Canis lupus familiaris: one gene and its partner. The protein of the gene in region 1 interacts with the protein of each later gene in a pairwise test. Links are inferred from orthologs where the notes say so. Each region holds a gene or a part of one and is shown on either strand. Other genes may lie near its edges.

What was found.
Region 2: the proteins of EEA1 (region 1) and RAB5B interact in binary tests that used the Homo sapiens proteins (3 or more experiments, as listed by UniProt). The link is inferred for Canis lupus familiaris from reciprocal best matches to the Homo sapiens genes EEA1 and RAB5B.

What each region holds. Positions count from the first base shown.
Region 1 is NC_049236.1:33,556,266-33,560,630, forward strand, and holds the start of EEA1 (early endosome antigen 1), read right to left. Parts: upstream 2,961-4,365; 5' UTR 2,792-2,960; coding exon 2,768-2,791; intron 2,108-2,767; exon of another isoform or gene 1,734-2,107; intron 1-1,733. UniProt on the Homo sapiens protein: Binds phospholipid vesicles containing phosphatidylinositol 3-phosphate and participates in endosomal trafficking.
Region 2 is NC_049231.1:669,128-672,933, reverse strand, and holds part of RAB5B (ras-related protein Rab-5B), read right to left. Parts: intron 1,003-3,806; 5' UTR 903-1,002; coding exon 740-902; intron 1-739. UniProt on the Homo sapiens protein: The small GTPases Rab are key regulators of intracellular membrane trafficking, from the formation of transport vesicles to their fusion with membranes.

The DNA of each region.
Region 1 (4,365 bases):
TTTCGGTCTCCCTCTGCCTGACATGCCCCTCCCTCTTTGGAGCTGCGAATATGACCTCCTACTAGAAGCTTCTCCTGAGGATCCCAACACCCTCACACAGAGGCACCCAGGGCACACTTCTTCTATTACACAGCACTGTAATCACTGTTAAATGTCCACTTCCCCTACCTGGCTGTGAGTTTTAAAGGGAGGACCCATACCTTATAAACCATTTCCCAGTCCCTTGCATATGTCTGGTGACTACTGACACTCAATATAAATACACAAGGGGAAAAAGTAACTGTGAGAAACAATTCAAATTTCCCTATAAAAGAGTATACACACTTAACACAATGGTTCTCAATCAAGAGATATTTTTGGGGCAGCCCTGGTGGTGCAGCGGTTTAGCGCTGCCTGCAGCCTGGCCTGTGATCCTGGAGACCCGGGATCGAGTCCCACATCGGGCTCCCTGCATGGAGCCTGCTTCTCCCTCTGCCTGTCTCTGCCCCTCTCTCTGTCTCTATGAATAAATAAAATCTTAAAGTATATATATATATTTTTGGTTGTCACAAAAGGGGAAAGGGGTGGGGGGAGGGGTGGACTGCTAACCACATGAAGTGAGCAGAAGCCAGAGCATCATCTTAGAATGCAAAAGGACAGCCCCCCACAAAAAAAAAAAGAACTATCCAGTCATAAAATATCAGTAGTGCCTTGGTTAAGAAAGTTAGTTGCCGGGCAGCCCCTGTGGCTCAGTGGTCTAGCGCCCCCTACAGTCCGGGGCGTGTCCTGGAGTCCCGGGATCCAGTCCCACTCAGACTCCTTGCATGGAGCCTGCTTCTCTCTCTGCCTGTGTCTCTGCCTCTCTCTCATGAATAAATCAATAAAATTAAAAAAAAAAAAAAAGTCAACTGTCACCTGACTTATTCATATGTGATGATCGCATGTCACATCTCAGCAATGATCAGAATCCCAATTTTGCAGTTTCATTTGAAACTTCTATTAATAGTCGTGCATGCACCAACACATGGTCTTTATATAAGAACGGTCCTTAGACAACGGTAATGCTTAACAACATTAAACCACGAGGACGGGAAAGTATCCCGTATTTCCGAAAACTATAACTACCAGAAGCTACTCTTTTTTTCAAAGTTTATTCATGTATGTTTTTTAATAACCTCTCCACCCAATGTGAGGCTCAAACTCGGGACTCCTAGGTCAAGAATGGCATTGCTTCTCCAATGAAGCCAGCCAGGCGCCCCTACCAGACGCCACTCCTGAGTCAGGAAACACTTCGTTTTATTTATCAACTTTAAAGCAAACCATAGGCAGACTAATTTTCAGATGTGCAACTATAGCGGAAACACAGTCTGAGGGATGAGGGGATAATCGGTTCCTCCAGGTTGGACTAGAAGGAAACCCTCTCCAAGTACCACAAGTAAATCATGCACACTCGTCTTTACTGCTGGACCCAGGAAGGGACGACAGGGGTAAAGGGCATGTCCTTGCTATTGCTAAAATCATCAGCTTATCAAGATTTCTGACAAAACCACTGCAAAAAAAAAAAAAAAAAAAAAATCATCAGATGTCAATACAGGGCGGCAGATACAAAAGTTAACTATTTCTCCCCTGATGCACGACCAAGTCTCACATGACTTGACCATTTCACAAAGCTGTGCAGGAGCCAAGGACACTCCCTTTCCATATAGTGGATGACTCAACTGTCTTTGGCACATTCCTTGGCTAAATACTACAAATTCACTAATTTCTTCCGTCCTGTGAACCAGTAATCCTACTCCCTCAGTAACCAACTAATCAGTTTGCCCCAACTTTTCAATCGTTTACAGTTTGTCGCAGCTTCTCAGATTCCAAAAAAAAAAAAAAAAGAAAAGAAAAGCTATCCAAAACAAAACCTTGAGTGACAGCAACGCTTGTAGGAAATGATACTCTTCTTATTCTAGGAGTCGATCTCTAAACAACACACGTACAGCTTTCCAATGCTCTTGGCTTTACAGCTTCAGGTTTTTCCAGCTTTCCAGTAGGGACAGCGCTGGCAGAAAGTGACGGAGCGAGCGCTGAACACTAGACGAAGCGGACTGCGAATTTACTCTCGGAGAGCTCAAAAAAAAAGGTACCGGGGCTGAGAGGGGGAAACGCATTTTTAATTGGGGGACGGAAAAAAAAAAAAAAAGTTTCCAACAGTGAGTAATCTCCTCCTCCTCGGCGGGTTTCGCCAGGAAGTGTCGGGACCACGACTGGGCCCGAGCTAGGCCGGGCTTGGGCACGTTACCCCGCGAACCCGCGGCCCAGGGCGGCAGGTGCGCGCGAAGCCGGGCGGCGGAGGGGCCGGGCGCTCCCCGCCGGGCGAGGCACCGACTCGGGTCGGCAGCGGCGTCCCCGGGCCGGGGAGGAACGCGCCGCACCACACCCTCCCGCCCCGCCGCCCGCCGCGCGCCGCCCGCCGCGCTGACAGCCCCGCGGGGAGCGCGACGCCGGCCGGGCCTGGGCGCGCGGGGCCGCGGGGGCCTCGGCGGCCGCCCGGGCTCCGGCCCGCCCGCCCCGCCGCCCCGCCGCCGCCGCCGCCGCCGCCCGCCCTCCCCCGCGGCCCGCCCCCGGCGCCGACGGCCGAGGCCTAACCACCTCCCGGCTGCGGGGCCTACAGGAGGAAGGAGCCACCGCCTCGGCCCCTCAGCGCGGCGGCGGCGGCGGCGGCGGCGGCGGCGGCGGCGGCGGCGGCGGCGGCGGCGGGCTCCGCTCACGTGCCGCCCCGCGGACGGCTGCACTCGCTTACCCTCTGCAGAATCCTCCTGAACATGGTTTAAACGCCGCCCGGGCCGCCGCGGTGACTCTCCGGACCCTGCGCGGGCCCCCTCACGACCCGGGGCTGCGCGAGCGGGGGACACGGAGTCGGGAAGGCACCCGGGAGGAGGCCGGGGCTAGGCGGTGGCGGCGGCCGCTCGGGCGGCCCCGACTTCCCCACAGGCGGCGACAGGGAGCGCGCGCCCGCCGGCCGGGCCGCCCCCGTAACTGACAGCCGGGCGGGCCGCCCGCCGCCGCCGCCGCCGCCGCCGCCACGCCCTCCCGGCCTGTCCGTCCGCGGGGGGCGGGGCCTCGAGGGGCCCGGCCCGGGCCTGCGGCCAATCGGAGGCGGCGGCGGCGTGGGCGGCCGCGTGACGGACAGGCGGCGGGACGCTGGCGCCGCCCCTCCTTCCGGCGGGCCGGGGGACGCCGCGGCGGCGGAGCGCACGCCCGCGCTCCGTCAGGGGCCGTGCCCGCGCGGCGGCCGCGAGCCCGCGGGGGGAGGCGGGCGGGGAGCCCCGGGCCCCGCGGGAGGAGGGCCCCGGGGAGGGTCCGCGCCGCCGGGTCAGGCTGGTCGGCTGGACCCTGCTCTTGACCGAGGCTGCACGGGACCCTCACTTCCGCGGCAAAGCAGGGAGTCGCGGACACGCTTCTCCCGTCCGCTGGGCTTCCCGCCTCGGCTTCGATCCCGGGTCTCCTTTCTGTCCTCCCTTCTCGCTGCTGATTTCGGCCAGAGAGAAAGTAAAGAAGCAGAAGGAAGGAGAGGGAGAAACGAATTTGAGTTGGCAAGAGAACTTTAGGGGCGTCCTTTTTGGATCGTCGGATCAGTCTGTAATCGGCGGAGGTCTCTAACCCCTTCTCCTTGGGAAGCCCCTGCGTGGCCCGACTCCCAAGGAATTTCAAGTCCTGTGCTGCTAACAGGCGTATCCACTGAAGCAACGTTAATGCGTCTGTTTCAGTAAAAAAAAAAAAAAAAAAAAAAAAAGAGAGAGAGAAGAAGAAGGTCACAGATAAACAGGGCGTGTGGACTTCAAACTGACTTCCAGGCACCACGTCGTTACTTAGGTCCAAAAATCATAGCTGGGGTGGCTCGGTCCATGCAGCGTGGGACTGTGGATTTATTCTCAGGTCTGCGATCTCCGGGCAGTGGGAGAGCCCCGCCTGGGCTCCAGGCTGCGCAGAGTCGGCTTGAGAGTCTCTCTCTCTCTCTCCCTCAGCCCCTCCCTCCTCACATGGGCACCTGCCCGGCTCTCCGTCTCTCTAAAATATTTAGATCTTAAAAAAAAAAAAAAAAAAAATCACAGCTCCAGAGTCCCACCATTCTACTAGCATTCACAAGCCAAGGTTCAGGAGCTTTACCCTGGGACGAAGAGGGAAGACTTTAATATTGTTTAAATAAGAAAGAGGGATCCCTGGGTGGCGCAGCGGTTTGGCGCCTGCCTTTGGCCCAGGGCGTGATCTAGTCCCACATCGGGCTCCTGGTGCATGGAGCCTGCTTCTCCCTCTGCCTGTGTCTCTGCCTCTCTCTCTCTCTCTGTGACTATCATAAATAAATAAATAAAATTTAAAAAAATAAATAAATAAGAAAGA
Region 2 (3,806 bases), on another chromosome or scaffold:
AAAGCCTGATGGCAGATCACACTATTATCAGTATTATTTGGCTGTTACTTTTTTATATAATCTTCTGCTGGTCAAAAACACCACATTTCCAAGGTAACTAGTAAAAGCGGGAAAGGAGTAACATGGGAGTTCTCATAAAAGGTCTTTTACTAACTAGCACCCTGTTTTGGGAGTAGAAGGGAGATGGTAGCAAAGGTGGAAAAGGCACATACCTTTTATCTTTTGTATTTAGTTCCAGCCTCTCTTTTACCAGGTATGTACATCCGAATCATCTAAGCTTTTCCAAACGTATAGGTCTCTATCTCCCCACCCTTACTCTAGTTCCAATGCTAATCAGTAGATCTAGGATAGGGCCTAAGCATGACAGGATGAAAATGTTCCCCAAGAGATTCTGATGTTCATTTCTGATTATGAATCACTGCTCCAAGCCAACCCTGTTCTAGATGACACTCAACTGAACTTCAATTGGATTAAGAGAGAAGTGGGAGGCAGAAGACAAACTGGGCTTTAAAAAATTAAGTGACCTTGGTGTGCCAAGGTCATCCTAATTTTCTTCTAGGAAGCAAGGGGACAAGCATATAACTACTTTTTGGCATTATGGACTTTTTTTTTTTTTCCAGTTTTATAAAGGATTTCCATTCCAAGGAGCTTAAAAAGGCCAGCTACACAGTCAGATCCCTCGATCTCCCTTCAAAAGCCTCACTAATCATTGACCCTCTTCTTTCCCTGAGGTACTCACCTCCAATGGTGCTCTCCTGGTACTCATGAAACTGCCCTTTGACAAAACGTAATACCAGGCTAGACTTCCCCACTGCAGATTCACCCAGCAGGACCAATTTGAACTGGCATATTTTGCTGGCCTGGGGCTGCCCATTGGGCCTGGCTGTGCTTCTGCTAGTCATGGCTAGATTATCAGAATGGGGAAGGGTAGAGGGAGGGGGATGCCACAAAGCGGCAAAGGGGGGAGGGGGGAAGGGGAGGGGACTTCAGGCTTCAACAATCCTGCAAGAAAAAAAGTAGGTAAAATTAAACACAGGGACATTGCAGCTGCAATTAATTTTAGAGAAAAGATAAATCTCTTCATTTCTTTGCTTCTATGAGGACTTAGCAATTAAAATCATCCACCATTAAAAGGTTATCCCACTGAGAGGGTCCCAGGCAGCTGACACTCCGTGGCAAGAATGGGAAACAATAAAATAAGAATTGCATCTGAAGTGGAGTTTGCCCTACTACATAATCCTCAATTGCCAAGGGAGCTGAAATGGAGAGATGGAAAACTGTTATATGTTTATTTCCCATTAATTCCTCATCATTTTTTTTTTTTTTTTAATTCATGATAGAGGGATCCCTGGGTGGTGCAGCGGTTTGGCGCCTGCCTTTGGCCCAGGGCGTGATCCTGGAGTCCCCGGGATCGAATCCCACGTCAGGCTCCCGGTGCATGGAGCCTGCTTCTCCCTCTGCCTATGTCTCTGCCTCTCTCTCTCTCTCTCTCTCTCTCTGTGACTATCATAAATAAATAAATAAATTAAAAAAAATAATTCATGATAGACATAGAGAGAGAGAGGCAGAGACACCAGAGGAGGGAGAAGCAGGCTCCCTGCCGGGAGCCCGACGTGGGACTCGATCCCGGGGACTCCAGGATCACGCCCTGGGCCAAAGGCAGCCGCCAAACCGCTGAGCCACCCAGGGATCCCGGGAGGGACTCTTTAAGCAGACTTTAGCTGAGCCTGGAGCAGGATGTAGGGCTCTATCCTACAACCCATGAGATCATGACCTGAGCCTGAAACCATAACCCAGAAACTCAACCCACTAAGCCACCCAGGTCCCCCAGCACCACACCACCACAGGTCTTCAAAGAACAGCAAACCAAGAAGTGGGGAGGGGCAGAGTGAGAGAGAGGATCTTAAGCAGGCTGCAAGCTCAGCACAGAGTCTGATGCAGGGCTCCATCTCCCAACCCTAAGATCATGACCTGAGCTGAAACCAAGAGTTGGATGCTTAACCAACTGAGCCATCTAGGCACCCCAAACCAAACAACTTTTAGTTGGCCTGAAGAACACCCAGATGCACCCATACATGCCCTAAGTCCCCAGTAGCTCATTAGTATCCTGGTACTGTTCTTCCCCCCACTCCCATCTTTTTTTCTAGCTTTCAAAATGGAAGATTCACTACAAGGGTATGGGATTAGTCACCCCTCCCTAAGAGCAGAGGGGTAGCTTCTGGTTCCATATCCTTCATCTATAACCAGTCTTCTTGATATTTCTGAATCTCTAACCAGGGTCCATTTGCCAGAAAAGCTGTCCTTTCTCGTTTCTGGCCAAAGGTGAGTAGAAAATAGAAAAATAGACCATAGAAGTGCCTGAGTGGCTCAGTCAGTTAAGCATCTGCCTTTGGCCTAGGTTATGATCTCAGGGTCCTAGGATTGAGCCCCACATCGGGCTCTCTGCTCAGTGGGGAGCCTGTTTCTCCCTCCCCCTCTGCCTGCTTATGTGCTCTGTGAAACAAATAAATAATAATTAAAAAAAAAAAAAAAAAAGGACCACAGACAACCAACAGACCACATTCAGCATCAACTCTTCCACTTTGTCTTGCTACCTCTCCAAGTCTGAAAATCTATTAGAATAAGAATCGGTAGGCTTGGCCTACTCTCAACTTGCAGCTGTCTTCCTGGTGTCGAGGGATTGGATTACCCTCCACACTAAATGGGCCTAACAGCTGTAGGCCTCCAAATTAGAGGCAAAGAAAGAGCATGTACCTTCTAAACACATGTAGGAGTCTCCAGAGGATGATGTAGGGGTAAGTTTTCTTGTTTTTTGTTTGTTTGTTTGTCTTTTTATTTTTTATTTTATTTTTTTGTTTGTCTTAAAGATTTTATTTTAGAGAGAGATAGCGTGAGTGGGGGTGGGGCAGGCAGAGGAAAAGGGAGAGAGAGAGAATCCTAAGCAGACTCTGCCCTGAGTGTGGAGGTAGACATGGGGCTTGATCCCAGGACCCTGAGATCATGACCTGAGCTAAAATCAAGAGTCAGATACTTAACAAACTGAGCCACCCAGGTACCCTGTAGGGATAAGCTTTCCAGCAGGAAACACTTGATGAAAATAAACTGAGCTACCTTCTTTACCTTTCAAGGGGCTTGGAAAGCTGATGGTGAAGGAAGAGCCAGAGAGACGTTGAGACTTTGAAGGTCTAATTATCCAACCCTGAATATAATTTATATTTCATCATTCTGACTCTGAGGGGAAATGAACCACCAAAGGAGTTAATATGATCAGAGCATGTAAAAACCTCTGTCCAAAACCTAAGCATTGCTTGGGTTGTACTTTGTTCAAATGAATCTTTCCTTTCTCAAAGGTTGATTCTAGTAACAATCTGCAATTCTAGTAAAGCTGGGAAACACAGTGAAGTCCAATTCACTGGGTGTATTTTACAGTTGTGCTACTAGCTCTGAAGCTTTGAGGAAGTTACTAAATCTGTGCATTCATTTCATCTGTAAAATGGGATAATAGCCTTATGAGCTCTTATGAAATGATAATTATAATAGAAATGAATGGAAGTATTTAACAATAAGCACTCAATGAATATTAAGCTACTAATCATTAATGACATCAAGAGAATGTCTGAGCCTTGCTTCCACCTTTACAAAATGGAAAAAATCCCCACTTCATAGAGTAGTAATGAAAATTAGGGAAAAGATGTGTTTAACATAGTGTTAAAAAATAAGTTATTTAGTGGCCCTGATTCACAGAAAAGATCAACTTAATATATTAAAGTATATCTTGGGCAGCCCAGGTGGCTTAGTGGTTTAGT